Oreochromis niloticus: one gene and its partner. The protein of the gene in region 1 purifies or fractionates together with the protein of each later gene. This does not show direct contact. Links are inferred from orthologs where the notes say so. Each region holds a gene or a part of one and is shown in the gene's direction. Other genes may lie near its edges. The genes, in order: pbxip1a and slc27a1a.

What was found.
Region 2: the proteins of pbxip1a (region 1) and slc27a1a purify together in Homo sapiens (co-immunoprecipitation; 3 studies listed by BioGRID and IntAct, with this or other methods). This does not show direct contact. The link is inferred for Oreochromis niloticus from reciprocal best matches to the Homo sapiens genes PBXIP1 and SLC27A1.

The regions. Positions count from the first base shown.
Region 1 is NC_031985.2:17,389,023-17,404,800, forward strand, and holds the start of pbxip1a (pre-B-cell leukemia transcription factor-interacting protein 1), read left to right. Parts: upstream 1-8,117; 5' UTR 8,118-8,333; exon of another isoform or gene 8,334-8,589; intron 8,590-9,119; 5' UTR 9,120-9,176; coding exon 9,177-9,248; intron 9,249-10,399; coding exon 10,400-10,484; intron 10,485-10,580; coding exon 10,581-10,648; intron 10,649-13,039; coding exon 13,040-13,679; intron 13,680-15,778. Other genes in the region: cks1b (cyclin-dependent kinases regulatory subunit 1), read right to left, coding at 4,183-4,232, 4,771-4,898, 5,062-5,120. UniProt on the Homo sapiens protein: Regulator of pre-B-cell leukemia transcription factors (BPXs) function. Inhibits the binding of PBX1-HOX complex to DNA and blocks the transcriptional activity of E2A-PBX1.
Region 2 is NC_031969.2:23,176,100-23,192,453, forward strand, and holds slc27a1a (long-chain fatty acid transport protein 1a), read left to right. Parts: upstream 1-9,177; 5' UTR 9,178-9,322; exon of another isoform or gene 9,323-9,491; 5' UTR 9,492-9,591; intron 9,592-9,873; 5' UTR 9,874-9,874; coding exon 9,875-10,041; intron 10,042-10,139; coding exon 10,140-10,534; intron 10,535-12,215; coding exon 12,216-12,383; intron 12,384-12,993; coding exon 12,994-13,063; intron 13,064-13,166; coding exon 13,167-13,258; intron 13,259-13,336; coding exon 13,337-13,446; intron 13,447-13,558; coding exon 13,559-13,768; intron 13,769-13,855; coding exon 13,856-13,982; intron 13,983-14,084; coding exon 14,085-14,222; intron 14,223-14,732; coding exon 14,733-14,897; intron 14,898-15,021; coding exon 15,022-15,168; intron 15,169-15,265; coding exon 15,266-15,423; 3' UTR 15,424-16,304; downstream 16,305-16,354. Other genes in the region: CD97 antigen, read left to right, coding at 42-236, 384-601, 683-743, 869-960, 1,195-1,360, 1,436-1,507, 1,744-1,785; ptger1c (prostaglandin E receptor 1c (subtype EP1)), read left to right, coding at 7,708-8,538, 8,687-8,866. UniProt on the Homo sapiens protein: Mediates the import of long-chain fatty acids (LCFA) into the cell by facilitating their transport at the plasma membrane.

The DNA.
Region 1 (15,778 bases):
CCATGATCTTGTTAAAATTGACAAAAACATTATGCACAGAGAAAAGTGCTGATTTGTATCCACCATGCAATGCTATCTGGAGTTTCATTTTTCAGCATGACAATGGTTCCGAAGATACAGCCAGTGTAGTAAAGGCACACCTGGATAGAAAAACACACACTGGAACACTATCAGTCATAGACTGGCCTCCCAGAACCAAGAGCTCAACATTATTGAAGAAGTGTGGGATAACCATGACAGAGAGCAGAAAAAAGGCAGCCAATATCCAAGGAAGAGCTTTAATTGTCCTCTCAGAAGCCTGTAGAAGTATTCCTGAAGATTCCTTACTGTAGTTCCATGTATGTTTGCATGTTTCAATAAATCTCATGTCCCATTTCCCCTGGCAAAATACAAAGAAATGAAGTGTGATGCATTTCTTCTCACTGTACTATATTAAAAACAACCGTCAAGTGTTTGCCACAATAATCACCTGGACATTGTCTTGGAATTAAAACCTGAAAAGTTCGGTTAATTCACACACACACACACACACACACACACACAAATAGTTGTTATGGACCAACAATTTCTATGGTAAATATGAAAAAGTGTAATTTAATAGAATACTAGTGGTAAATATCTGTCATTGGCTCAGTCCGTGATTTACTTACATATTTTCATATAGGATGCCAGATGTCTTTGTCAGTGAGAAATCTCTAAAACTGAATATTGTTGCATTGTTAGGTACTTCTCCTTTGCAATGCTGACATTTTCTGAGCCATCCAGTGGGCCAGATTGAACCCTTTGGTTGGTCCAGGCCCTCAGGCTGCATGTTTGACACTCAAACAACCTAACCATTTTTTATTGCTTGACCCATCTGAGGATTTATTACACTGCAGGACTGCTGATTTATAGACATACATACTCTCAAGTGTTGTAGGAAACTCAACCGAACTCTTTCACATAAAAGAGGGAAAATTCATTTTTAACCTTTCCTCCATGATACTGAGGTGTTCTCACCTTTTATCTTAGCGACCTCTTTCAACTTCACGCAGCATCCCTCCTGAGGTTTGTTACTGAGTTAGTACAGCTAAAGTTGTTAGTCAAACAAAAATGTACTTTTTTTAAGTCAGCGATGCAGTAAGCAAGCTAAAATTTCTCCAGTTTCTTGATAGCATCATTATAGGATTAGTCTTTGAAAGTCTGTTTATAGTTTCTCAGAATCTGACACTTTAGAGATCAAATGATCAAAAAATAATCAGATTAAGGGAGACAAAAAAAAATACTTGTTAGGCTATTTGACAAATGGACCTATTAAAATTCTGCTGTCAAGTGTCAAACTCAGTATTTTTGCTGTTGCCGTCTGCTTGTTTTGAAACCAGGACATGACAAATGAGGGGCAGAGAAACTCAAGGATACTCCACTGTCATGGGCTAGTGACTTTTTAGTCACGTAGCAAAGTATACCATTCTTTCAATTTCAAATGTGTTCCATTTAAAAGACAAAGTCAGACATCCTGACTTCCCAAATTTGAGCTGGAACGTCCCTTCAAGTCGACTTCCTACTCGTAAAGTCAGAGAAGCCACACCAACCACGTCTTTCCTATCCAAGAGGGGAGGAGTGTATAAAAAAAAATAGTAAAACTGTAGAACATATAATCTGTGCCTCCACCATCATGTATTTGTGACTCACCAAACCATACAAAGAGTACCAAGTAGGCTCTATCTTGTTACATTTTCCCCACTGCTACTACTGACATCCAACTTCTGAACGCAGCACAATTTTCCTTTTGACCCTAACAGGTGCCATAATTTATAAAATGAACGCCATGTTGTATTAAATAAGACTTTAAACTACCAATTTACGCCACAAACATTTCAGGAAAGTGTTTACTGAGGTCACAGATCAATAAAACAAAGGGACATCACCTCATTAATTTTATTACATTCTCACATTTTTTTTAAAACCCTGCAGGCCATTGGGAACAATGCAGGTTTAAGCCTCTCTTCAGATCTTGAAGCTACAAAATTCTTGCTCTAGTGAAGCAAGTCTTACACCATTCGCCCTATCAAGGCTTTTTTGTCTCAAAATTCAAGCAGCTAAACTTGGTTCATAAATAACTCGCAAAACAAGTCCTCTGAATTATTCAGCCTCATTTCTGGTTTTGATCCCTGTGGTTAAAACCCCCAGTACAACAATAATCCATTAACCTTTTACACAGAGCATAACTGCTAAATGTGTGGCAAACATTGTGCCCGTCTCTCCCTTTATGTAAGTACGCCATCGTAACAACATGCACGTTCAGGAAAACACTCCCAGAGAAAGCTACTCGTAGATGAGACACATGCTGCACATTAAACGGCAGGAACTGGTGGTGGTTTATAAGCAACTAATAAGAAAAATGAGAGTCTAGTCACAGTGTCAGACAACAGATGCAGTGTGACTGCCACTGGAAGAACACCAACTGTGCACCATAATGTCACAAGTCAGCTGTCTGGCACACAAGTGTATTTTGTGAGATCACACTTTAATCTAGTGGGGCTTGCCACATTACAGTACAACAGGTAAGGCAATAAGGGCAAGCTTCTTTTGTACATGTGCCAATTTGAAAGCGGCTATAATTCGCACTTATTTGAGCAGCATGTTAAGTCACAGTCTTGGGTCCAAAGCTTAAGGGGGGGGAGGGGACAAACTATACAAACTGAAAAGATGTCATTAAAAAAAAAAAAAAAAAAAAAAAAAAAACCCCACGCACACACACCTTGCGTAATGACTGCTACTAACTATAGATGAGACCAAATATTGGCAAGGTAATATGCATCATGAATAAGAAATTTTAATGCTACAGGCATCAGTATGTTATCTGATTATTTTAGCCCACACAGCAGAACCATGTCAATTTATCAGGATTATAGAGGCTAACCTGGTTCAGAATGGGCCTCTGGGGGATAACTTCCACAACATTAAGTGTGATTGATCAGCCTGCAGTTGATGTGTAGGTGGATGTCAGCTGGAAGTCACCGACATTATATACATATTTGGAGAAGATAGAGTTGCTGTTTCTTTGCAATCATTTTGCATGGGTTATTTGCCTTTTGGGGAAACATCAAAACTCCCTCTGCAGTAAAAACCTTATCAAATGCATCGCTCATTCAGTGCTTCAACCAATGCAATAAGTTGTTCATGGAGATGTTTTTTCAGGATCTGATGGAGTTCAAGTATTAAGATTTGCATACTATGGTGCAAAAGTCAGTTAATTGGTAGGTTTACAGTTATGAGTTCCAAATATCTTGTTGCTTCTTCCTGTAGTAATTGTGAATTTCAAGGAAAGCCATCAAGTGCTTCATACAGATTTGTTTCCTCACATAAACTGGCACCAAAATAGATTTATTGAATTCAACTCTGCTCAAGCTGAAAATGTCACAAAACTCCATGTTGTAAAGATTCCCCCCCACCAACATTCAGGTTCATGCTGCATTTTCAGTAAACCAGCCACTTCGCCACTATCAAAACACAAGTCCACACTAAGATTTAAAAGATTACATTTATTTCAGAAAGGGCAAAACGTTTCATAAATACTGAGCAGCTCATTGGTATAGACCCAGACATTAAGCCAGAACTAATATACATGCTTGAGAAAACTGGATCAAGATTAGCATCTATCCAACTCAAATGCAGGCTTTCCCTCATCTGCATATGGCAAAATGTCATTAAATGCCAGTCTACAGTGTCATTTTAACCAAGCAGCAACATGAGACTTTGAAGCCACAAATCAAGGTTTCAAAGTCCAACTCAATTTAGGATCCAACTATTCTGCTAGAGCTCGACCCAGAAAGCACTTAGAATAACTCAAATGGTTGATCAAGTTTCACTCCCCACATCTTACAGCAATTGTTCTAAAAAGCTGGAAAAATCCAAGCATGTTCACAAGATGGACAGGTTAAGTCAAAAAGGACAGTTTAAGCTGAATTGAAGGTTTCTGGCAAACGTCGTGTTGCTCTTAACACATGCAGAAGTCTTTTCCCCAAATAGGTGGGTCATAGTTTTTTCCTTCAACACAATCCATTCCATAATCACTGTTCATAAATGCAGCAGTCCTTCTCCAGGTCCAGCAAAATCAGCCCACATGGCAGTTAGAGCATGGTGATGAGTTGATCTGCGACATGGTAGACTGATGTCCCTGAAGGACCCAGAGAATCTCCTTTATGATTTTGGGTTGGGCAGAGGGCGTCGGAACAGCAAGATGTGCGGCTCTGGAGGTGGAACAACAAGAAAGGCTCATTATCTTGTGGAAACCAGCAATTTGAGTTTTTGGGGGGGCAAACACATCTCTTGTAACTCTTAATTAACAAGAGGGCGTGCCCGGCTGGCACACCGGGCCACAAAATACAGTAGCAGTGACCTCTAATCTGCATCACCTCAAATGCAAAAACTTAAGTTTTAAATTACTTTGTTTATTTAAATGTTAAATTATTCTCTTCTGTAAAATTAAAATTCCTTGTTTTAGACTACCGATTGGTCAATACACTACTTTGCCACCTGGTCATTCTCAGAGATTTAGTTAAAGGTAATATCACAGGGTGAGAAAAACAGTAGTGAAAGTGATCAGCTGCGGTTTTAGTCTAATTTTGAGTTGGCCTTTCCTGCAAAATGATCACCATGAACTACTACAACTTGTCTCAGTTCAATATTATCAACAAGCTACACCACCACACACCCACCCGCAAGCACAAACTACCAAACCAATATTTAAAATCATGACGCTGACATAACTGGGCTGTCAGTTATTACCTGGTTGGTGAATCATGTAATGCACCCATCCTTGACTCTGTTGGACACCAAGGTTTCTCCACTCGGTCTCCGACATAAGATGGGTTTTGGGAACACGCTTGGCAAGCTCTTTGGGTAGCATTACATGCCTGCGGGGGGGAAAAGGTAGTATTACATTGTCAACGCAGCTGTGTTGGGCATTAAAAAAAATACTCATGATGTGTCGTGTAACGAGTTGGAGACATTTTCTGCAAAAAATCATCTTAATAAAACTTAATTTAACTGCATGTCGTAAAAGCATGTCTTACGTACCTGTACTCGTATTTGTCGTCGTCATATTTGTCAGAGTAGTAGATCTGTTTGTGAGACATGGTGGTACCCTGTGGGAAACATCAACGGTCACAATTAGAGAAAAAGGCAAGAAGCAAAGGAAGGCTACATGAGTGTAGCTATGCTATAGCCGTTCAAGCTAGGTCGACAAGACTTTAAGACAAACATGCGTGCGTATTTATCGTCTTAAAATCAAAATACGTTGTTGTCAATGCCCAACACGAATAGTTAAGTTTAAGAACTTACCTTTTGTTTCGTTTTTTCTAATTAACAAACTTTCCCAGAGGTTTTAAAAAAGCCAACTATTCCAGATATTTCGCTTCCGACAGCGACGAATTGTTTGCTCTCTCTTTGTTTCCCTCTCGAATGCGTGCGAGCCCGCTTTTCACCGTTCAAATAGACCTCGCCTCGTCCTATTGGTCAATACGACGGAAAAACTCGTCTGCTATTGGTTACGTCTATCTGTCGCAGGACATTGACGTAACTTCTTCTTTGATTTCCTAATTCGTCATCAGGGTGGAAAAATCTGGGAAAAAAACAAAAAACAAAAAAGCAAACATCTAGTTTCAGTCCAAAGTTCGACCACAGTTCTGTGCTGACATGCTTTGGTGTGATTGCATAACCAGTCCCAGACTGAGCTTATAATCGTTTTTAGCGGTGATATCGTGAGAAAGTTTTAAGTCTATTATAGTTTTTGACACTGTTTTATTCAATTGAAAGACAGGTGACGTCAACGAGGTGCTGCAACAGTCTATTTTTCTTATTATTTTAGCTCTAAATTTTTAACATTTCAAACCGTTTTCACTTCAGTTCGTTTCCAGAATGCATTTTCTCATTGTATCTTAGTTTTTATTTTTATAAGAGTTTATTTTATACAAGCTTCCGTATTTTTTTATTATTAGTAGTAGTAGTAGTAGCAGTAGTAGTAGTTTATTTTTTTTATGATTAAACAGATAACACTGTGATCTGTAGTGATAGCTGGAAGCATGTGGAAGAGAGCCTGGAGAGGTGGAGGTCTGCAGGTAGTAAAGATGGATGACTTTTACATATTTCGGGATCAACCGTCCAAAACAATAGACTTTGCACGATAGAGGTGAAGAAAGTCCAGGTGGAGACGATTGATATGTGAAGAAAGAATAGCATCGAGAATGAAGGTTAGAGAGGCAAGGATGAGATGGTTTGGAGATAATCAGAGGATGGATAGTGGATATATTGGGCAAAGTTACTGAATATGGAGCTGCCAGAAAGAGAAAGACCTCAGAGATTATTCATGTATGTAGCAGCATTAGTTTTAGTTAACCAGCCTGTAATTTATAGTCTAATGTTATCATTTCACACCTATGGGCATTTTAAACACCCTACATGTGTATCTAGAATCTCTTAACTTTTTACTTCTAAATAAATTCTAAACGGACCTTTGCCCTGAAACCCTTATAAAGACCGTGAGACCACCAAGTTATTCTAGCTCACTTTAGCTTGGCCTGCAGTACTTCTGTGAGGATTCTTGGGCTTAAATCCCTCCTACTTAGGGGCTTAAAACTTTCCTTTTTAATCAAGCTCACATCGGGGACAGATCATGTGACCCTGAGCCACCCCTTATTTATGCTGCTATACACCCTGGCTGCCCATTATACTAAGCAATCCTCGGCTTTTCTCTCTTTCACTTTCCAGTTATTAATATATGCCACCATCACGTTATTATCTTTGTGCCCTCTCTTTCCCGTAGTTTGTCCATTGTCCTCTCTGTGTTTTTCTGCATCCTGAGATGAATGTTCCCTTATCCCCCAAGCCTGCAGAGTATTTATTGTTATATTGTTTGCAGTAGCTTTGTGCTCTTCTTTTCTCACCCCACTGTCAGATGGCCACCCTCCCCGAGCTTTGTTCTGTGCAAGATTTCTTCCTGTTAGTAATGAAGGTTTCTCTCCCCATGCACTGTCCTCATTTGCTTGCACAAATGAATGTTTTTTTGTCTTTAATATTGTAAGGCGAGGTTGTTACATTACAATGTAAGAGTCCTGGGATTACTTTTGTTGCTAATATGCATTACAGTATGCACAATATAAATAAAATCTAAGAGATCCATCTTTATGCAAAAGTGTTTCTCTATTTCCTGATTTTTCCCTCTTATTTGTCACACTTACATGTTTCCAATCATCAAACAAATTGTAATATTAGACAAAGATAACCTGAACAAATAAAAAATGCAGCATTTAAATGATGACTTCAAATATTAAGGGGAAAAAAGCTATCCAAACCCAGCCCTATGTGAAATAAAGAATTGCTCCCTAAACCTAATAACTGGTTATTAATGCAATTCCTTTATCACACAGGGCCAGGTAGGTTTGGATAACTTTTTGCCTTAATATTTGAAATCATCCCTTAAAAACAGCATTTTGTATTTACTAGTGTTATTTTTCTCTGATATTAATTTTTTGATGATCTGAAACATGTAAGTGTGACAAAAAAAAAAGAAGGAAGGAGGGCAAATGCTTTTTCACACCACTGTATGTGTACATTTACCTCTGGGGATAGACCACCACAGTAAACATGAGCAGGCCCAATCTTTACCTTTCAACACCTCAAATAAAATAAATCAACTTTCACACTGCTGTCAACAAGACATTTTTATGTTGTTGTTTGCTTTAGGAGTACAGAGGCGTAAAAAGGAAAGTGCTTATCCCAGAGAAAACACTTAAATGACTAATTTTAGAGGAGAAGGGTTAGGAGATGATGAAATGAATGCCCACATTGGAGCAATAGTGGGAAAGGGGTTGTCCACTCTGGCAAGTCCCGTACAAATATAGTTCAGCAGACGTGTCAGTGAGCGACTGGTGGCTCCTGTATATATATATATATATATATATATATGTGTGTGTGTGTGTGTGTGTATATATATATATATGTGTGTGTATCTTGTGGGATCACACATGAACTTGTATTATTATAAACCAAGGAGAAAGAGCCGCGACCATCACCTGCCACTTTCACCTGCGTGCGTCAATCAAGCTGGGATGCACGTCGCTTTCCTGACGCGACACTTTTATCCGATTGGTCCAGCCTTGATTCGGGGGCGGGTGCTCCCGCGGCTTTGGTGAAATCCCATTGGATGTGAGACACGTTGGTCGACGTGACGCTACTTGGAATTCCCGAAGTTCCCAAGTTCAGAGGAGGAGAGGAGCTGTGCTCGTGCTAAACAAAACAAAACAAAACAAAAGCAAAGGGCTTTGAAGTGGAAAACGCCGAGCGACTCAAGTGTGAGCACGCGGGGTAAATAAACGTCTTCTTCGCGTTCGCGGTGATGGAGCCGAGCTCGTGTCGGGGACAGCCTGCTTAACAGCTGGGCCTGAGTGAGAACGCGGAAGAGTGGGAGTGGGAATATTCAGCCAACCATCCTTTGTTTACCATCATGAGTGAACCTTGAATTTGGTTGCTACAACAACCACAGCCCCCCAGCATTTACCTCTTATATGAGCAAACCAGAACTTTAGCGCGCGCTAGCGTTGCCGATAAGTGAGTATTGACCTTTATTTGCACGCTTGGATCAATGAAGTACCCGTGCAGTTTGGGGGGGCGCTTGACCATTTTTGGGCATTTAACTGCTGCACAGATTGACTGGATGAATGGATCTGAATGAATGGCTGGCTGGAAATAGCAGTAGCGATGAATGCAGTCAGGAGATTCTTGTTTTCTGCACTGACTGAAGCCTTTGTTTCACTGCGCAGCGGTGTATTATGGATGCCTCCGTTACATAACTTGAATCAGCGACAATCTGCTCTTTATCCCGTTTGCGTTTGCAAGGTTTTAACTGTGCCACAACTGCGCGATTCTGCCCTCTTTTACCGTAGTTTTCAAAATTGCATGCGAATGCTGCATAAAATCACACACGGCTCATCGAGTTTGTGCATTTTTTTTAATGTTCTCAACTGCGCCTGATGCACCTGAACTCGTTGTAGTCGGGTTATTGCATGTTGATAATGAGGCTCGCATGTGTGCATTAGGCGTGCTCGCTGAAGACACGTTGTTTCTGTCGTCATATGCAGGATTTTTAAAGCTCAATCTGTCCCGTGTGCTGTGCCAAGTTAAGCCTGACGGGGGCGATGTCTGACAGCAGCAACAGCACAGGCAGCACAGGCTCCTCCACCAACAGCTGGACCCTCCTTTCCCCCGAGGTAAGACGAGATGAGCATAGCTAAGGAAAGTCTGGGTATCATTTGGAGCACCATGATTATTATCCTGCTCCGTGAATACTGGTTCATTTATAATTTGTCTTGTCCTAACCTGCAGCCCAGAGCGGCTTAAAGTGGGAGACATCCTGGTGAATGTTTGCAGAGCGCCAAATTGTGACTCATCAGGCAGATAATGTGCACAGTTCAGATGGAAATAGGATTTATTTCACTTTTGCCTTTTATTTATGTTTTATTTATACTATTCTAGCAGTTCTCATACTTTATCCAATAATGTACCCCTGTGGAATAGCTTTCTATGCCACTTGGCTATCTGACCAGCACAAGGTATTTATAGCAACGCAAATATCCCAGTATACACTGTGCCAACTAAGATAATATTGTAGTCACACTGAACTGAGTCTTTCTGGTATGTTGCACCTCAGATTTAGTGACACACGTGTGCTTGCACTTCCCTGGGAAACGTTGTCATTCTCAGTGGCAGAGAGGCAACTGCAGTCAGTCGGTGTGATATGCAGGAGCAGGGTTTTTGAGTCATGAAAGAAAAGCTGCGGTGGTTTCAACCACAAATTTCTGTTAATCATTAAATATCAGAAACGGGCTTCCCACTCACAGTGACCACACTGAGGTTTAACAGCAGCTAAGAGGTGGCACTCAAAACAGAAGTACTGAATGTAAAATGTATTTTTTTATTGAAGTCATTACTGTTTAATTGCTTCCAGAACTATATATAACTGGCTTTTACATCAGCTTTTATACCAACAACTTGTATCCCATGCAGTACTCAACTTCACAGTTTTTTTTGTGTATCAGCTCAGTGTGCAAGCATGACTTGGCCTTGTTACCCAGCCTCGTTTGTTAGGATAGAAAACCCACGACAGCTGCATGGATATTGTTTTGTCAGTTTGGGTTGGAAAATGTGTAAAAGCTCATCAGACAGTAGTTTGACTGTGATTTGTAGCTTTTGTTATCAAGTATTTCAAGATCATTACAGGAAAATCTGACTTCATTATTAATTGGTAAGCAGTGCCAGTTGTAATCATTGGTGAGTGTGAATGCTACTCTAAATGTCAAGGTTATGGCTACAGGTGTAAATTTTTACCAGCCGGTTCTCATTAGGTCTTCTCACTCAACAGGAAGCTGCCATTGAGAATGTCGGGCCCGTGGACGATGGCACAGAGAGCCTGGGGGATGTCCCCAGTCTCTCCGAGGAGGTGGCAGGTACTGACAAGTCAACATATCTGCCTGGTGTCTAAAGCTGTGACTTTTTCTTGTGTTCTACATCTTTGTTTTTGCATTGTGTCGGTGTTATTTCAGGAGCTGCTGTGGAGTTCAAACCAGTTGGCATCCCCATAGAAACTGTACTATCTGAAGAAGGCCACCAGGTTAGTAACTACGCAGCAGTTCATTAAGAAGACAAAAATTCAATCACATCATATTTAGACTGAGATCACCAACTGTGCCAAATGTATTGCTGTTTGACAGATCACAGCTGAAAGCCAGAATATCATCTTCTTTTCTGAGTTTCGTAGCTGCTCAGAAGGTGCAGCTCCACCTACTTTACCACAGTGTGTAACCTCAGGGTATTTTTGCACATCAGGATAGATTTAAGAGGGGGGGGGGGGGACACATCTGCAAAAATATTTTAAGTAGGAGCACTTCCTGGATTCAAATTGTTTGTGTGAGGAGGTCTTTGGAAGTGATCTATGATTTAAAACCCCAAGCTCTCTATAAATAAATATCATGCCTTTCTTCTCATAACATGGTCACATTTCACCTAAAAAGTTTCAAGCTTAAACCTTAGGAATTTTTAAAATCTTTTTATCTGCATCTTATCTTCCAATCCTCCATTTAAGAGAAATAGAGCTTCTTCTCGTTTGTCCTCACCCTGTCTCATAAAGCTTATGTAAGATCTCTGAATTATATTAAAAAAGCTTAAGCTTTGCCTCCCTATTTCCAAATAGAGCTTTTCATTATGTTAGCCTCTAATTTCAACTCTTACTTTGCAATTTTGTCTGCGTTCCCATTGCCCTCCACACTAACATGAGCATAAGTCCAGCAGGACTATACACTCACGCCTACTCCATGTATTCTGACTATTTTTGTAAGTATTTCCTTCAAATATTTACCTCTGCTTGTTTCTTTTGACTTCAAACTACCAAGGACTGGTACAGAGTCTCAATAACTCCTAAATCAGGTCTTCTGATGTAGCAGGTCTACAACTGTAGAACCTGTTTCTGCTGTAAGTACAGGTAATCTGTCTGTAGTCTTTTTCATATGACTGCACATAATTCATACACGCACTGCCACCCAAAATCCAGTAGTAACTGCTGGCTATATAGTTATCACAATGTTACCTGTAATAACCTTTCACTACAAATCTGATTAGCATAACAAATTGAAGAAACAGATGGTTATAATAATTCCTATTTACACAATAAAAATAAAAATAAATATCCAGTGTTATTCATATTTCTACCAGTGAATTTTCTCTTCTGCTTCAGTCTATAGTGGGCACCAAAAATATCCATGGGCAAATTTACACACAGAATTTGGCCCATACTCTATTTAAACAACGACTTAACTCCTCAACCTTTCTGTTGCTTTGTATACTCTCAACAATCACACAGCATCTACCCCAATATGCAGCTGACAGCTTTGATCGACTTACATGTAAATGAACATTCATCAGCTTCCACCAGCAGCACATTAGTAGGAGTTTAATGTATTAAGAAGGCCCGAAGACGTCTAGAAGTGACTAATTAACTGTTTACTTTGCACAGTTTGACCATAAAACTTAAGCTGCGTTATCTAACCTTCTCTTCCTGGTAAAGAACACGTAGCATGACTTCATCACTCATATTTTAAAACCACAGTCATATGACCATCTTTCTATCTTAAATGTTTACCCCTTCAAAGCCTGTTAGGAGTAACACTCGAAGCTCTTTTCTGAACTTTACAGATGCCTGAAAAATTAATAAATAAAAATGTAACATTTTAATTTTAAAACCTGTAAGTAGAATAAGAGTAATGATTCATCTCTATTCATCTACATAAAGCTATTACTCACTATTTCTACCAACATTTATAAAATATAATGTATCATTCTGTTAAACACAATAGGACTAGAGTACAGTTTGCAATCTCAAAATTCTCACATAAAAAATTGATCTTTAATAATGACTTTGTATCCCTGCCTGCATCAAGACACTGAAAGCAGAAAATGACAGATGTCATAATGATAGATGTCGTGTTGACTTAAAAAAAACTTACAGCTGCTTCAGTCTTACTGTCATGCTCATGTAATATCAATTAAAGGGTTAATAAAATTGTCAAAGTAATCCTGGTCAGCATCACTTAATGAAAGAGAAATACTGTAAACGATGCTGTTTGCAGGGAAATGACCTCAATTACATGTAAAAGTTGCAGAACTTTATCAAAAAATAAAATGGAAAATAACAGCCATAAGTTATATTCGTGATCATTTTTATGCAAAAAGAAGTTTAATAAACAAATTGTACAAACAGAATTACTTTTTAGATTCATGCAAGTGAACGGTTACTCGTTAACACTTTGAGCAACAAATGAAGTCATCATAGACAGGGTGTTTCTTTTTCATTCATTCATGACATTTCTAAACAAACATCTCGTTAGCAGACATGTTTAAAATATTTTGTGCAGGAACAGTCAACACTGAAGTATTTAACAGTTTAACCACCACTCTGTTATTTGAAGGTTAATTAAAATGACAGTTACATTTTTGTCCTTGTCATAAGGTGTGTCAAGAGACCTCTCCAGAGTCCAGTGAGGGTCCTGTCCCTTCTAGTCCATCCCGTATGAGCCCTCTCCCACCCAGCCTTCTCGACCCACCAGATGTGGATTTGGAGAGTCAGCCTCCAGTTATCCATGACATTGTAACCAGTTCTCCCAGTGACAATGAGCACCTAGGTGCCATGCCATTTGTCACCAACATTGACATGGGGGCTCCACTGGATATTCCAGCTGTTGAAGTCCCCCCAGTCGAGTCCGAGGAGTCCTGCTCTGCACCTCAGATGACTGAGATCCCGATCTCTGCAGAGCATGAGCTCCAGAAGCCTGCTGATGCTGGACTGATTCCCGCGAGTCCTCCTGGGGAGAGTCAAGTCTTCAGTGCTGAACCCGAGGTTAAGATCCCCACCGAGACCCTTACAGCCACGGATCTCCCGTCTCATGTTGAAGCTGATATCAGCTTTGTTCCAGACAGCACAGAGTCACAAAGCCCAGTCCCCGAGAGCCTGGTGACAGAACATCCTACTGATGAAAGTCCTGCACCAGAGACTGTTGGTTCAGCTGAGGCAGATGAGGAGGCGGCTGTTAAAAATGAGCCCGCAAAGCCATCGGAGCCAGTGAGGCAAGATGAGAGAGACGATGAAGAAGGTATTTGATTATCCTACATAAGCGTTTCAGTAAATGTAAAGGCACTCGCACAGTATTCCCAAATCCAGCCAGACACACACGGCTGTGTATTCTACTTTTCTTTGATTTTTTTTTTTTCCTCAGTAGAAATAGATTCTTTCAAAATATCTTCACATGAAATTATCAGTGATGGCAAAAACAGTGTGATTGGAAATCCACAGTAAAGCCATGGTATGCAAATAGCTTCAAGCACGTAACCTCATTTTAAGAGGTTGTAAATCAAAGAGTGTGGAAGATCCTGCTATGATATATTCTCTGAATCCTGCAAAATTTATTTTCTAAAACTTAAATTGACTATCTTCTTTTAGATGAGAGATAAAATATCTTTTTTCAACAAGCAGGACAAAAGCTTAAATAAAATTAGAGATGTAACAAAAAAAGAAAACTAGCGCAATAAGAAAATGTAATTAAACAACACAAGTTTCTCATTTCTGGGGAACCGGTCTTCTTATTCACTGTGGGAAATGGACACCAGAGGCTGAAGTCAGAGCAAAAATTTGTTGTTGGAGTCTTGTGAACGTCTGTCTCCTCTTTCTGTGCGCAGTTAGAAATATACATTACTGTGCAAAAGTCTTCATTTCTTTATATTCTACTAGAAAAATAGGAAATAAGTGCAGTGATTTCTTAAAATATGCACTAACATTAAATGAAAATACAACATGCTAACGAGGCTGAAAGTCAGTATATGATATGACCATCTTCTTCACCATAGCCTCTCTTTGGCAAGCGTTCTTCTTTAAGTGGTCTTCAGGAATAGTACTCCGCAAGGACATCCAAAGCTCTTCTTTGGATGTTGGCTGCCTTTTGTTCTGTTCTCCCACACTGCTTCAATAATGGTGAGGTCCAGGCTCTGGGGAGGCCAATCCATGGCTGATAGTGTTTCATTGTGTTTTTTCTATCCAGGTATGCTTTTACTTCACTGGTAGCATGTTTGAGATCATTCTCATGACTAAAATTAAGTTGTTTCAAATTAGACATTTCCAGATGGATACTGCAGGTGAATCAAAATCTTTACTATGTTCAGAATTTCATCAGATCTTACAAGATTACCAACACTACTGGCCAAAATGAGGCCCCATGACAAAGCCTCCACCATGTTTTACAGCCATCTGTAAAATATGGTGGCTCTCTGGCTCTCTTCCACAGCATGTCTTTTATCCTGCCTTCTTTCTCTCACCCCAACCAGTCACAGCAGATGGCCGCCCTTCCCTGAGCCTGGTTCTGTCTGAGGTTTCTTCCTTTTAAAAGGAAGTTTTTCCTTCCTACTGTCGCCAAAGTGCTTGCTCATAGGGGATCATGTAACTGTTGGGTTTTTCTCTGTAGATCTTGAGGCAACTGTAGTTGTGATTTGGTGTTGTATAAATAAAACTGAATTGAATAGACAATCACTGTTGCACCTCTCTCCTGACATCCTCTGTACACATTGGTGACAATTTGAAATACAAATGTGGATTCATCACTACAAAAGAACTGTTTCCAGTTATTTTTCAGTCCAGTTCTTGTGTAATTTGGCATAATTCTGGCTTTTCTCTTTTTTCTTCATTAAGAATGGCTTCTTGACAGCCATCCTTCCACTAAGACTATTTCTGTTGAGACTTTAGTGAACAGTCGATGGATCAACTGAAATCCAGGTCCTGTGTCAGGGCTTTATCTGTTTCTTCCTCTACTGTAGATACTTTTTTTCTTCTTCATTTGTCCTTTGTCTTTGTCTTTTAATAATGGATGTCTTAAAGCTTGATGTTGACATAGTAACCCTCTTTTATACTCGATCTCAAGATAAGATAACATTTTACGGACCTTAAGTCAACGTTGTACCTGTAACAATATTACAGCTGATCTTATTTGTAAAGTGACATAAAGTGAGCATCCTGCGTTTAAATATTTCCATCTGGGTCCCAGGCTCTGGGGCTCTTAGCAGGTTTTCCCAGCTGCCTCTGCAGCTTTTGAGGAAAGTAAGTGGTGCTTTATAATAGGCACAAGTTGATAAAAGCAGAAAAATGAGAGAATTTGTTAACATGTTTCTTATCTATGTCTCGCTAGCAGCTGGAAAGTGATTTATC
Region 2 (16,354 bases), on another chromosome or scaffold:
TTTAATCCCCTTACATGTACTTTCATTTACTTTCCCAACAGGAGAAGTTTGAGTTTCATCTGATCATATGGGTGTTCCTGTCCCTTTCACTGATTTGCTTATTCATCTCCATCTTGACATTCTCAATGATCCGCTCTATTAAAAGTCCAAGAACCACCATCCACCTGAATCTCTGCATCAGCCTCTTCATTGCAAACCTTGTCGTTCTAGCAGGAATCTCTCATATTGAGAACCAGGTAAATACTAACAGTGTTTGCTGCTCAGATGAATGCAGATGCAGATTTTTTTACTTAACTTTAATTGTGATGTAAAGGGACAAAATGAGGAAAAGAACAGAAGTTTAGTAAGTCTAGTTGGGCAACATCTCATCTCTTCTCCATTAGGATGGCTGCACAGTGGTGACAGGGATCCTGCATTTCTCCTATCTGGCCACATTTTTATGGATGTGTCTGGACAGTGTACAGCTGTTCAGGATGATAATGCTTGTTTTGAACACCAACTTTAAAACCCTCCACATGATGGCAGCTGCCTATGGAGTTCCAGCTGTTATTGTTGCCATCTCTGCCTTAGCTAATTCCAAGGGACATGGTACTGAGAGATAGTACGTTTCCTCTATTCCTAAAATTTTATCATCAATTTATCCTTGTATCCCTATCATATTAACTCTTAATTTGCATTTCAGTTGTTGGGTAACCCAGGGATTTATTTGGAATTATTTTGGCCCTGCATGTGTAATCATCATTGTAAGTAAAGTTGAAATTGATTTAGGGAAATGGTTATAGAGTTAAATGACGTGTAAAAAACAGCTGATTTAAACATAAATGTTGCTTTTTGTTGTTTGTTTGTTTGTTTGTTTTTGTTTTTTCAGGTAAACATTTTCTTCTTTTTCATAACTGTATGGAAGTTAGCACAGAAGTTCTCAAGTGTAAACCCTGACCTGGATGATCTGCACAAAATCGAGTAAGTCACCAATAACCCATAAGCTGCGCATAAAAATCACTATCATGATCCTGTTTAGTTTTGGTTGTGCTGTTTAGATTATTTCTTACATTGCTTTAGAATTTTTTATCTAGGTTTTGGAATTTTGTTTTTGGATTGGTCCGTAGCCAACAAAGGCTTATTTTGCAATCGGTCATCTATTTTCTGTAGCCCACATTTGGGTTTTCATTCTTGCATGCAACGTGTTTTCTGCAGGGCATTCACCATTAGTGCATTGGCTCAGCTATTTGTATTGGGCAACACCTGGATCTTTGGTTCTTTCCAGTTTCAGGAAAACCATACAGCCATGGCTTACCTCACCATCTTTGGCAGCCTGGAAGGAGTTATGCTCTTTACCGTGTATTGTCTGTTTTCCAGGCAGGTTAGTAATATTCATGCTTAACTAAATGACAAGTTTTTGCCTCTCGGTAAAATTTCATTTATATCCTAATTTTAGGTGAGGGAAGAGTACAAACACGCCTTGACCAGAATTTGTGCTCCTCGGAAGAAGAGTGACAGAAAAGCTCATGTAAGCAGTTATTTACTGAAGTTGATGGCACAGATTAACATTTGATTGGCAGTGGTACTGCCACAAACTGTTCCTGAAGTTTCATTTTGAACACCTTTAAAATTTGACCATTTTGTTTGTTTGAAGATGATAAGCTGTTGTGAAGGACACAAGATGTGAAGTGAATAAAATCCTCCCGTTATAATGAAAGACATTTTTGATCACTTTTTGAATATTCTTCATTTTGTCATCATCAGGTTTCGAAGAAGGCCCAGGATACAAGAGAGTGTCAACTTTGAGGAGCTAGACAGTAATATATATATATGGGTGTGCATATATATTTATATCACCTGCCAGCTAAAAACTGCTGACATGTATATTTCAATTTTTGTACTGGATAAATATCTCTTAAGCAATCTTATAAACGTGGAGGGATGAGGACTTTGTGTACTTGTTGATTTCTGTAGAATTCCCCCGGTCATTTCTGAAGCGGAAATTGAGTAAATTGAAATATAACCACTACATGATGCTAGCACACCAGAAAAGAAGGCTGATGGTGTTGCTGATAAGACCACTAACAGTAACTTCACTCAGGAAACACATCTGGTGTCCCGTGTTTCAAATATTATAAACAGTGAAGGTTGAACGGGTTGACCAGGTTCGTTTTTTTTTCTTTTCTGTAATACAGTTGCAAAGAGCATTTATAATGTACAAATTAAGAAATATAAAAAATGTAGTATCCTCATTTTGAATGAGCGCTTCTATGATTTGTTTATATTATATTTTCACACCAATATATAATTTATGTAATATCTATCTATAGCTATAGATGCCAATATATAGACATGTATAATCTGTAACATGATTTTATGAAATAATATTGAATAAATGAAATCTGTGTTTGCAACAAACTTTTTCTCTTCTGTGTTGAAGGCGATTGCTTAAGTTTTTTTTTCTCAGTTCTTCTTAAATGTCTTCTATCTGCTCATCTAGACATTAACAAATTTCAAAAAGGAAATGTCTGTGTTCACAATGCATCACGTATCAACACACAAGGCAGTTATTACTGTTTCTGCAACGCTGGCTTCAGACTAAAATCTGGCTGATTTAAGTTGTCTAGGAATCTGGAACAATGGGAAGGTGAGGGCTAAGTATGACATAATGCAGCAAAATTTTTATCGTCTCTAGGCATTGTTATATAACAATATAATTAGATTGGTAATATTTAGAAAACTACTATAGGGGTTGATTACATTAAATTGTAGAAGCTTAATTTTCAGACAGCTGCATATGGTCAGAAAGAAAAGTACACACAAACTTGGAAGAGTTGGCCAGATTTGTAGTGAAATGGCTGGGAATGGACAGATGCAAGGGTATTGATGATTACACCCTAGTTCAATAAAAAGGATGTATGTTGTATCACAAGACACAATGAGACAGCTCATCAATTTGTTCATCTACACGGGGCATTTTGTAGAGGGTAGCAGCTGTGGCAGTTTGTCTTGAAACAACAAATGTAATCTCCACATTATGATGTTTTTCTCAAAATAGAATTACTACTTTAATCTCAAAATCCATCCATCCATTCTCCATCCATCCATCCATCCATCCATCCATCCATCCATCCATCCATCCATTCTCTTCCGCTTAATGATCAATAATATTTTTGTTCTTAATAATGCCCATTTCCACTGCAGAAATGGAACCATTTCGAGGCAGTAAGGATGCAAAAAAACTGAACTGGAGTTGTGAATTATCTGAAATAAATCTCTCAGGAGCTCAGAGACAGTAAGAAATCAGTGGACCTGAATGAAAAGGAAATACTAGGATAGAGTCTGCTGACCCTAAGATGGATGGATGTTGGGAAACTGTTCGTGTCGCGCTGGCTAATTTCTTTCTGATTAATTTGTTATGACTTTAATTAATAAATTAATAAATAGACAAAGGGCATTAGTAAAGGTGACTGGGTAGAAAAATAGGAATAATTATAATAATGTATTAATTTGTTTATTTATTTATTTGTTGAGTCGCTTGAATTAAAGCTGAGATTCTTTAGCTTAGCTTTAACTTGTTGCATTCTCATCTATTGAGAAACAGAAATAAATTATTTAAAATTGTGTCACGGACTAAATATTTTCTGACTCCCTCTCTTCTCCTGTGCCTGTAGAGATTACTGAATTTGACTGATGGCCTCTTGCCCAGAGCAGTCCTCAATTCTAAAATGAAAGTTTCACATGTTCTTGACTTAGTGGGAAACGCTCTGAGATTCATAGGACGCTTAACTACCACTTCAGAGATTAATATATCTTCTACTCACAAACGTTAAATAGAGGTAAATCAGTTGAATTTGTGACCATTCGATAAGTCGAATTCAGCCTTTGACTTTTATTGATACAATATTAAAAAATAAGCAATACATGTTCAGAAAAGTCTGTCTGGTTTCAGAGGTGGACCTGCTTGTACATAAGGGGCCTGTTATATCCAAAGGAAGCACGGCTTTATCAACTAAGCATGCTAATTTGGACATCCAGATGGAGATAGCTGCTGGAGATCCTGCCTATTACCCTGGTAATCACATGCCAACAAATACTGCATTTCTAACCGATCTTATCGGATTGTAACCCACTCCAGTCACATTGTGCTTTTATTGCTACAGGCTTTACAGCAGTGTCCTTAATGAGCTACAGATAGCTTCTTTGATGGGATTAAATCACAAAAGAAAAACAGCTTTAAGATAAACTTCATATATAAGATTGTTTTTAGGCCCAAATGACGTTTCTTCAAAAAGAATGTGGAACAAAAAAAACTGTTAAACTTGATTGCTTGTGAAAAAATAATATCATTTTTAATTTGGTGCCAAGAACACATTGACACAAAAAAATGTGAGAGGGGGAAGAAAAGACTAAAAAAGTTATATAAAGATAAAAACTATTACAGCAGTTCTTCCCTTCAACACCTTAACACTTACAGTGCTTTTAAAAGAATTGTTGATGCAACACAGAGAATACACAATTTTGTGTGTGTGTGTGTGTGTGTGTGTGTGTGTGTGTGTGTGTGTGTCTGCGTGTGTCTGCGTGTGTTGCGTACAAAACGCCCCAACTTTCTTGGTAACATGACTTTACATATAACACAAAGCTTGTTACAACAATTTCCTTTCAATTTCATTTCTGTTTATTTATTTTTCAAAAGAAGCTTGAAGAGATTACACAGATAAAGCAGAGCTCCACACAGGGTAACATAATAATGCTTTTTGTGTCATCCACAATTTCTGACAGAAGGACTTTCTGACATCTCTTTAAATTAGTCAAAATTGTATTTTAATTATTTTCTGTTTTATATTTTTAGAAGCTTTAAACTGAATACATACATATTCTCTGTAATGTTTTTGGCCTTTGTGTATTGACAGTTCCAACTTCATTCATTTTATTTAATCTTGAAAATAAAAACAGTGGAAGGATAAAGAGATCTATTTTTCTTCAGTCGTTTAGCAGAAATAAAATGATGTAAATATGATCCTACACAGTTTTGTTAAAGAGCTCACAGAAAATAACTTCCACTTCCATTCAATGACATTTTCCATCTTTCCCCTTATGTTTCTTACATCTGAGGGTTCAACTTCAAAGACTGAAATAGTTATACTCAGAGAGGAAATGGGAGACTGTCTCCACTTCCTTCCTGTTTACGTAAGATCACAGATAACAACTCTGACGTCTACACATAGGTTTATGAATAATGCTGTTTAAGTTATCATTGCAAATTCCTTGTTTAGAAAATGTTTAAATACATGTCTAAAATACCTTTTCAATAATATTATTTATAATATGTGAGATACCTGTTAGGATGTTGTTTAGCATGTGATGGTGCATCTCCTAACTATCTAATTATCATCTCCTCTTTCAAACTCTTTTGATGATTTTTGCCTGGTGTATAAATGTTGGAATTGGAGGAAGAAAATGTTAGTAAGGACTAACTCTGGTTATATTTCAACATTTGGGCTGACACCCATTTTTTGAGCTCTACTCTGTTCCAAATGAATATCTGTTATGAGTAGATTAAAGGACATGTTCAGACGGGGAAGAATAGTATGCAGAGAAACCTGTCTGCAGATAGAGAAAGAGAAAGGTAGACCAGGCAGGAAGAGGAGCTTTCAGAGGACAAGAAAAAAAATTAGGGGAGGGGAATGAAAGTAAATAACCGTAGGCAACTGTGATCATACTGCGATTTGGTACATGAGGCGTCTGTGTTATCAAGAGGCACATTCATCTTCCTTCATTCCTTTTGAGTGTTCATCCAAAGCAGTCTGAAGGTAAGTTAATGGCAATTTACTACATAGAAATAATACCATATGTTTAGATACATTCCCCTCTACTAAAATAATTTAAGCAAAACCTGATTGTGGGGAGATCTTGGCAAGACATTTCTTTTTTACCTAAAAAAAAGAAATAAACAGGAGAAGGAAAGTCTTGATTAGGGATGGGTATCGTTTAGGTTTTATCCGATACCGGTGCCAAACCGGTACTTTTGAAACGGTGCTGGTGCTTAAACGGTGCTCAAACCGGTGCTTAAAGAATGGAGAACACAAAACCTCTCATGTTTAGCTGTTTTTTTGTAAAAAAAAAATAACAATGTAAGCCTTTTCTGCAGCTGTAGGGCATATATGGTATCACTCTTGGCTGGAAGCAGTGCTTAAACAATGGAAAAAACACAAAATTGGTCCAAAAACCTCTCATGTTTAACTGTTTTCCACTTTTTCTTTGGTCATTTTAGCCTTTTTGGCCAGGGTGAAGGGAGTATCTGCCACCAAACAAGAAGACAGCCGCATGTAGCTATGATGATGTTTGCTAGTTCACCTTACATGCATTAATGTAATAACGTGGTTAGCCTACTCAATGTGAATTATACACGAACAACATTAAGCTACTCACGCAGAGAAGAACGGCTGCTGCTGCCATCATCATTTCTACTACACTGGCAGGGCTAGGGGCCAGGACTCTACTCTTCGGGTTTTTGGGGGGTTGTTGCTAACTCCGGGTCCGATAACAGGCACCACACCCGCAGTAGATGTGCTCGGTGTGAGGTCTCGCAGCAAGCTAAACACGGCGCATTTCTCGGCTTTAAAAAAAAACGCTATGCGTCGCCAGGTGTTTCATCGGATTCGAGGTGTTACCTCCTTTGACAGTATCACAGTATCAGCTTAAAGCACTTGTTGCAGGCTGCTGAGTTTGCATACTTTGCTGCGAAGTACAGCCAGACTTTTGACCGCTTCGCCTTTTTTAATCTGTAGCTCTGCTCTAAAAGAACGTACGTACCTGAGCCCGCCTACTTTCCTCGGAAACGTAAAATGATTGGCTAGAATTGGCTCAAGAAAAAAAAAAGAGCACCGAAATAAAGCACCGAAATGTGCGCTGCTTTTCGGTCTGGTTACTACCGTTTATGTCAGAACCGGTGCCATCATGGCACCGGACACCGGTACCCATCCCTAGTCTTGATTGTTTTTAAGAACTATATCCAGTCATAGTTAGATGACAACCTTCTTTGGTCACTAGTGACACTTTCCTATTACTGAGTATTACCCTTGAATTCCTCTGTAATTATCTCAGACTTACTGAAATAACTGATTAGCAGACCAGAGGAGATTATTCATATTCATTAAAGCTCTAGTTGATGTTTCTCTATTATCTAAGGCCTATAACATCAAAAGCTTAAGTGCAGTTTAACTGGAGTTTTCCCCACTATCCTTTACCGTGTTGCTTCAGTTCATTTATGCACAGCTCTCTTAGATGAGTTGAGGTCTGGGGCATTGCAGCACTCTGTTTTGTTTACTTTTCAGCCGTTCTGTTATAGATTTGCTCGTGTACTTCAACCAAGCCTGTTGCATGACCCTATCTGAGTCACGTTTTAAGCATTATTAGTCTACATCATTCATTAGGAATAAAAGTAGGGTTTTATCTACTGCTTTCCATTGTTGCCAGGGAATAGATGCTCTTCTAAATGCTCTTTAAATCCCATGTGTCAGAAACATACCACTTATTATTACTTTGAGCTGCCCAGTAAAGCATGTATCTACTGAGTTTTTGTTTGTTTGTTCTCTGATGTGTTGTTGTCTATGATTTACTTGAGATATCTAGATGCCAAAACAGGTTGACGTTAGCTAAAAAATTGTAGACTTTAACTAATGCATGTTCTTTTAAACTTTTTCATAATTTTTTTTGTAGGTATCAATGGACATGATGACAACTTGCCAGCTGAATCAGACATGTGGCCAGCCGAATAGTAGCGTCCCACCTCCCATGAGCAATTCAGGCTTAGCAATATCCTGCTTCACAATGTTATTTGGCACCATTTCCAACCTTGCTGCACTGGGCATCCTGGCCAAGTCTCGTGGTAGATTCTCCCGCCAGTCGAAAGCACCGTTCCTACTTCTAACAGTGGCTTTGCTTTTGGCTGACCTGGGAGGTCATGTGATCCTAGGTTCCTTTGCACTGTATCTCCACATGAATCATCAGTATACTATGAAACTATGTGATGTCTTTGGAACAAATATGGTGTTTTTTGGCCTGTGCCCCTTGCTGTTCGGTTGTGCTATGGCAGTGGAGCGCTGTGTGGCCATCACTAAGCCCTTTTGTCGTGTTACTATGATTACTGTGGCTCATGTGGTACGGGTGGTGTTATTCCTTTCCTCTCTTGCACTTGTTCTGGCAATTCTGCCTTTACTCAAAGTGGGGACTTATACTATCCAATATCCATGCACCTGGTGTTTTTTGAGAGTTACTTCTCCATGTTTCGCAGCTGACACTTACCTGGCTTTGATTTTCTCATGTCTGGGCCTCACTGCGCTCACCCTTTCCCTGTTCAGCAACACAATGAGTGTTGCTGCATTGGTGCATGCCAGAATGAAGACCCCCAATGGTCAAACAAACCACACAACCCACTTTGGTCGTCGTGAATCATGCACATCATCTTCTTCGCTGTTTTTTTCATTGGATGTGGAGGTAATGGTGCAACTGGTAGTCATCACTGTTGTTTCCTGTGTCTGTTGGAGCCCCTTCCTTGTGAGTGCTGCTTTTGTTATTCTGAAGACTTTTTTTCTGGAATAATTTAGATATGATTTATTTTAATATTAGATCTGACTAATAAAAAGGGACAAAGAATAAATAACACATCATAATTGTTTTCTCTCATTTTTCTCCTACATTGTAGATCCAAATTCTTCTGATGCAGCTCAAGCAAAGCCCTAGTACATCAGCTCAAAAGCTCATCTATGTGGCTTTACGTATAGCCTCCTGGAATCAGATCTTAGACCCCTGGGTTTACATCTTACTGAGGAAGACAGTGCTCTTCAGAGTTTGTGGACAGAGATGGACCCTGACAAGAACATAGTTCCACTGTTTGCATTAACTATATTAATCATGGACTTTTTGTATAGAGCACATAGATACTTTCTATTTATATACAAACCAATAGCTTATTTACAGAAGCAGTTAGTGAATAAGAGATGGGGGAGGACTTGAACTACATTTCACAACATTTAGTAGTCTGTACCGGTTCTGTCATCAATAGCAGCTACTTGCAGATTGGCCAATGGGGCGGTGTTAGTTTTGACCAATCAAAATTGAGAAAAGCTTGACAAGCAGCGAGTTTAACAAATAGCGGACCTGCAGGAGGAGGTTAACGCCCGTGGTGGGTGGTGCTTCTGTGCCAGCGACTCTATTCAATATGGAGTACAGAAAATAGCCACATTCAGCTGGAGTTTAACTGTTCTCATTCACATTTGTGCCACTCGGGCACAAATTATACTCGCAGGCTCGTAGAGGACACGTGACTGGACTCGCTAACGTATGTTTGACATATTTATAAATGTACTTTGAATAAACTAATAAATACTTGAGCACAACTGCGCTGTAAGAAGTAAAAGTGTGGTAAGACTTGGAAAAAAAAATAATACGGATTTTCCTGAAAACGCTTCATTGCGGACTTTCTCGACGCTCCCAACAAACAACTGCAGGACGATTTGAAATACCGCTGGTTTTCTAAATAATAAGGCGGGCCGACCGGCGAGGTTATCGGGTGAAAGGTGACAGTGCTTCTGTCTAATTGACCTGTAGGTAAGTTATGCGTTTAAAGTTTGTGCGTAAACAGTGGTTCATGGTTTAAATGCCGCTTGTTCACATACGATGCTTAAATTTGAGCCGAATTTCATGTAAAAACGTAAATTCCGTTCAGTGGCGTAATGCGATGTGTTAGTTACAACCTGTAAAAGTTTCTCGTGTGTACTGACCCGCAACTGTAGTACTTTAAGCCTCCAGAGTGGAACTGATGTAGGCTTTAGCTTAAGCCAGTTCTTTCTGCTAAAAGCTTCGTCTTTCTCCTTTTCATACTGTGACAAGAATGCACAATGCAGCGAGTGTTTCAGCCTCTCTGGGGTCCGTGGGACTGTGTCGGCTCTTCGGGGTGTCCTGGCCCTGGAGTCTGGCAGCAGGTCTTGGGGTTTATCTAGGCACAACCAGCTGGAAATACTTCTACATTGCAGCACGCACGGCCAAGAGAGACCTCACGTAAGTTAACGGCATCTACATGAAGCTGTGACTCATATGCGTGTTTATCTGTATACATCTTTGTGCTTACACCTGATTTTTCCTGTCACGCTCCCCAGTGGCTTGTATGTGCTCATGAGAGTGAAGATGGCCTTATGGCGCTACATGCGCCATGGAAGCAATATTCCTTCCATTTTCGCCCAGACAGTGAAACTCCACCCGAATAAACCAGCTCTCATCTATGAGGCCACAGGAGAAATGTGGACCTTCACCCAGCTGGATGAGATATCAAATGGAGTCGCCCATTGGGCGAGAGGTCAAGGATGGGTCTCCGGAGATGTTGTGGCCCTTTTCATGGAGAGTAGACCATTACAGGTGGCCCTTTGGCTGGGTTTGGCCAAAGTTGGAGTGGAAGCTGCACTCATCAACTTTAGTCTCCGCTGTGATCCTCTTCTGCACTGTATTGGGGTATCAGAGTCACGGGCGATTGTGTTCGGAGCTGAGCTGGCTGATGGTAAGAATGTAGAGATGACGTAGAGAGAGCTGATCATGAAATAAGTATTTGTTTTAATTTTGTATAAATGGAGCTGTTTGTATAAATATGTGCTGCAGTATTATACTGTCAGCAAGGGACATGTGTTATGTTTGCACCCACAATACAACTAGTCTCAGCTACAGATTCCTTGCTTGATATCTGTAACGGTATAGTAGATGGTCATCTTAGGTGGTGTCTCGTTGTTAACACTCAGTTTGTATTAGAATATGTTATTAATTCCTAAGGAAATTATGTGGTTACAGTTGCTCCAAGACAATAAGAACAGTAACAGACTGAACTAAATTAAATAATCTAAAATATTACAAAGTTACAAAGTATAAGAAATAGCTCAATTATAAATATCCAGAATATTACAGAGATTAAATATATGAGTGACACTGTACTCTAAACTTTAAACTGTAAAACTTTATTTTGTTATTGTCACTGTAGAGCATATGCAAATATTAAGGCTTTAACTATTGCACTGTGTACTGTGTATTAGATGGAGAAATTGTATAGAGCGAGAGCCTCAGGCAGGAATGATTTCCTGTGTCGTTCAGTGGTGCATTTAGGTAATCTCGGTCTCTCACTGAACGTGCTCCTGTGACTGGGCACTCATGGAGTGGGTGGAGGGTATTGTCCAGAATTGTCCTTATCTTGGACAACATCCGCCTCTCTGACAACAGCCTAAGGGAGTCCAGCTCCGTCACAGCAATATTGGCAGTATCAGTTTATTGACTCTGTTGGCATCTGCGACCCTCAGCCTGCTGTAAAACAAACAATAATAATGACAGGGCCTATGAAATGTAAGACGTGTTGGACCTGTTGTTGGCCTCCACGCTGCCAATGAAATTCTTGGTGAAGCTAGTTAACGCAGTTTAAATACAACTTCTAAAAGCCAGAGACAATACCTGATATGAATTTGGCTGATCTCTCCTTCAGTTGTGCAACCTTGAACTCTTTAGTTTGTTTCCAGAGCTATTTTTAGATTGCTTAGTGGAAGTCCTATTCTGATCATTTACAAGTGCCGTGGATCCCATGAATCTCAAACTTGCACAGAGAGAAAACATCACCAACTGTGTCAAATTGGCAAATGTCGGGAATTTTTGGCTGTACCAACACAAGTATGTGATTAGATTCCCTGCAACTTTGTCCCCTTTACCAAAGTGGAATTCAAGTTAAAGGGCGAATGAGAATCCCAAAAGACCAAGTGGTTGAAACATAAGAGTTCAGAAGTGATCTAAAGATAGCAGATTGTGGTGAATTACTACCCAAGGTTATGACCTTGAAGAGCACCAGGTAAATTAAAATCATCTAATGGTGTTGGACAACTTTATGATCACACACATACAATCTAGATCAGGGGTCTCGAACTCCAGGCCTCAAGGGCCGGTGTCCTGCAGGTTTTAGATCTCACCCTGGGTCAACACACCTGAATCAAATGATTAGTTCATTACCAGGCCTCTGGAGAACTTCAAGAAATGTTGAGGAGGTCATTTAGTCATTTGAATCAGCTGTGTTGGATCAAGGACACATCTAAAACCTGCAGGATACCGGCCCTCGAGGCCTGGAGTTTGAGACCCCTGATCTAGAGAGTCTGAACTGAGCTGACCTGTATCCCATTTTTTTATATCTAACTATGTTTCTTCCTGAATGCCAGCTATATTGGACATCAGTTCCACCATGAGCCAGTCCGTGGTACGATTTTGTACAGGAGACCTCAGTGCAGAACAGTTAGCCTGTCTTGCTGCTCAACCTCTGGACCCTATTTTAGCTGCTGCACCTAAACATCCCCCTTCGCCTTGTGTTCCCCCTAAAGGAATGAATGGTGAGTATCTCACTAAACTCAGCTCTCACTCTGACACTTAATCTGTATGTTAATGAGTGACTCTATTTCAGATACCTTCTTAAACAATTTCCTTACAATGTGTGTAGCTGTTAACCTTTGGTTCTTGGTTGATTCTGAATTCCTAAAGTGTATGCGCCATAGTAATTCATTTTTCTCACACTGCTATTTCTAAACTAAAATTGCTTTCCAGTAATTATATATCTCAAGCCTGATAAGGAAAATACTTGGCTAATAATGTGAGTCATTTTATGACAGTTGCATTCATTTTTCTTAGACAGCTGTCTGGAGCAGATAAGAGTGACTTGCTTGCACTGTCCAGTCTGGATATTAATAAGCCATTTCCTAGCCCAGTGGTAAATCTGTCTTAGATGAATTAACATATAAGCCAGTATTAAAGGTGTGAGCTTCAGATATACCTTACATAACAGTTGAGATGAAATTGCCAAGGGAAATATTAAGCAAAGTAGAAACGATGTCTGCATTTTCAGTTCTTTAATGCGTTGGTTTCCAAAATGCCATCCCAGCAGTAAATGAAACACTATGTAATTTTGCAGGGTGCATTTTTATGCTATATTCTATTGTTTTGCAGACCGCCTATTTTATATTTACACCTCGGGGACCACAGGACTGCCCAAAGCTGCCATTGTGGTTCACAGTCGGTATGTTTTCTTGAAGAACCACTACCAAAAGAAAAAAAAAATCACCTTTCTTCAAAGTTAATACATTTAATGTTTATCTGGGAATCTCTGTTTTCTTTGACAGCTATTACAGAATTGCTGCTTTTGGATATTTTGCCTTTCGCATGCGCTCTGATGACATTGTCTATGACTGCCTGCCTCTCTATCACTCAGCAGGTATGTGATGCTAGTCTACAGCTTTTAATGATTACAGTTTCACCTTCTAGGTTTAATCAAGCTTTCTTCTCTTTCCAGGAAACATTATTGGAGTTGGCCAGTGTCTGATCCACGGCCTCACTGTTGTAGTGAAGAAAAAATTCTCTGCCAGCCGCTTCTGGGAAGATTGTATTAAGTACAACTGTACCGTAAGCACCTATTGATTTCATTAGTATGGCATTTATAATAGTTTTTTGAAGTTATTCATAAACCATGAGGTTTTGAACAATAAGATTTATTTTTTTCCCCCTCGGCTTGTAGGTGGTGCAGTATATTGGGGAAATCTGCCGCTACCTCTTGTCTCAACCCGTGCGGCCAGCTGAGAAGCAACACAAAGTACGGCTTGCTGTGGGAAATGGATTGCGCCCCAGTGTTTGGGAAGCCTTCATGGAGCGTTTTGGGGTGGCGCAGATTGGCGAGTTCTATGGGGCCACTGAGTGCAACTGCAGCATTGCTAACATGGATGGCAAGGTCAGCAGCTACCATGTAACTTTACATGCATGTCCTCACTATTACAATGTTAATTGGATCAGAGTTTAGCAAATTCTGTCCTGCCAGGTGGGAGCCTGTGGATTCAACAGTCGTATTCTTCCCAATGTGTACCCCATCCGTCTGGTGAGGGTTGATGAAGACACCATGGAACTTGTTCGGGACAGCCGTGGGTTCTGTGTGCCTTGCCGCCCTGGTACTGAACATCTATACAGCAGTTACAACTTTAAGGGTTGGGAGTCTTTGACCTATGCTGGTCTTCTTAGAGTGCTAAATTATAGTCCTCCATGCCTTGCAGGGGAACCAGGCCTTCTGGTAGGCCGCATCAACCAACAAGACCCATTAAGGCGTTTTGATGGCTATGCTAACCAGGATGCTACAAAGAAGAAGATCGCTCACAATGTCTTCAAGAAAAATGATTCTGCATATTTATCAGGTTGGGAATCATTTTTGTTTGATGCACCTATAAAGAAATTATTGTCTCATCTTTTCTAAACAAACATTCATGAAATCTACTGCAGTTCAGTCGGCTTGGCAGGAAATGGAGTAAGTTCAGTGTCTGTTGCATTTGAGATCATTCAGATCACCAGGAGTCATTTCTCCCTGTTGTTTGGCAAAATCAGCAAATCACCATATGATCAAGATGATAATGATGTCTTGCACAAAGTTTTGTTGTCAGAGTTTATATATAAACTTTTACTGTGACATCCTGCTTGCTACAGCTGATTTGTCTATGTAGTGGGAGCTTCACCCATTTTTCTGTCTGTCAATGTTTATGCTTGCATAGCTTGCGCATCACATTTTTAAAATTTGCTACATTAAACTTGTGTTTTTCAAGTGTTCAAGGGAATTGTTATTCAAACAAAACTTGGAAGTTTAAATAACTCATGTCAGTGATTAATAGCTGTAAAAACCACACAGGTACTTTGCTTTACCTCCACCCCAGGTGACGTGTTAGTGATGGATGAGCTGGGCTACATGTACTTCCGGGATCGCAGTGGGGACACCTTCCGCTGGCGAGGGGAAAACGTCTCCACCACTGAGGTGGAGGGTATACTAAGCAATCTTCTGGGTCAAACTGATGTTGCAGTGTATGGTGTGGCAGTGCCAGGTAATGGTTAATTTAATTAACTGCCTTTAGCATTGCATTTGGACTATGTAGTTCCCCCTTTTATTGTTTAGTGATTTTGAAAGAACTCAATAATACAACTATTTATTTCTATGCTTAACTCCAGGTGTGGAAGGTAAGGCAGGCATGGCTGCCATTGCAGATGCCACGGGGAGTTTTGACTGCAGCAATTTCTTGCAGAATATCCAACGAGTTCTTCCTCCGTATGCTCGCCCAGTGTTCCTGAGAATCTCCCCACATGTAGACACCACTGGTAAACTGCTCCTGTAGCCCTCTCTAGTTTTATGCTACCACTGATGACTATATATGAAAACAAATTATAATCTGTGTGTATCAATATTTCTGTATAGGTACATTTAAAATCCAGAAAACCAGGCTGCAGAGGGAGGGATTCGACCCACGACTCACGAATGACAAGATCTACTTTTTAAACACCAGAGGTGCACGTTACGAGGCCATGAATGAGGAGCTATACAATGCTATAGTCGAGGGAAGAATGTCTTTATGATCTGGAGGCTTTAGCAGGGCAGTCAGGGTGCCTTACTTAAACAGCTACTTTTCAGAGAATGACTAATATATGGATATAGGAGTGTGTGCATCACTCAGCCTTGATGCACCACAATCGCAGGGAAGAGCGTGAGGGGGCTTCCGACATGGAGAGAGTACTGTTACAGATGATGTTTAAACACTGTATAAGTAACACACCAGAACATGATGTGTGGGCATTTATTCCCTTTAATAGCATCTTTGTACATTTTCAGTAAAAACCTCACAAACTCTGAGCATCACCGCACATAGAGTGGAGTAAAAATCTTACATTAATGTGGGTAGGAAAAAGGGGTAGTCAGGTTAAACTTTTTACAGGGTATGTACCTGTTTATAAACTGTGCTGCAAGATTAATTCTGTATAGGTTTAAACAATAGTCTTGTGTTATTGCTGTGTGTATGAATGAGGCTAAGAGACCAGAGTTCAACATGCAGTGTATGTGGCTACTAGCTCGAACACTAACCCTCGAATCTTTGACATTTTTATTGCAATGGGAAACTAATCCCACTTGTCAAGTCTGAACTTCTGAGGACACTTGTTTACAAATATGCCAGCATTGCTGTATTATGTGCCTTTTATGAAACTAAGAAACTAAGATCTGTATTTAATGACTTTTTTTTTTTTTTTTTTATAAATATGACCAGAAGTGATATTTTCATCATACAATACTAGGTCACATATAGTAACTGTTATTGTGTAAAAAGTCTCATTAGTGTTGTAAAGCTTGGGAAGATATTCACAATCATGGATCTGTTGAAATTTTGTAACTAAAATGAAAGATTTTAAACTGTGTCTGTTTAAAGCAATTAATTAAAAACTCATTAAAGTTTACTTTAATATCCTACTGTAACCTGGATCATTATGAGGAGCCTCAGAGTTTACAGAACAATTT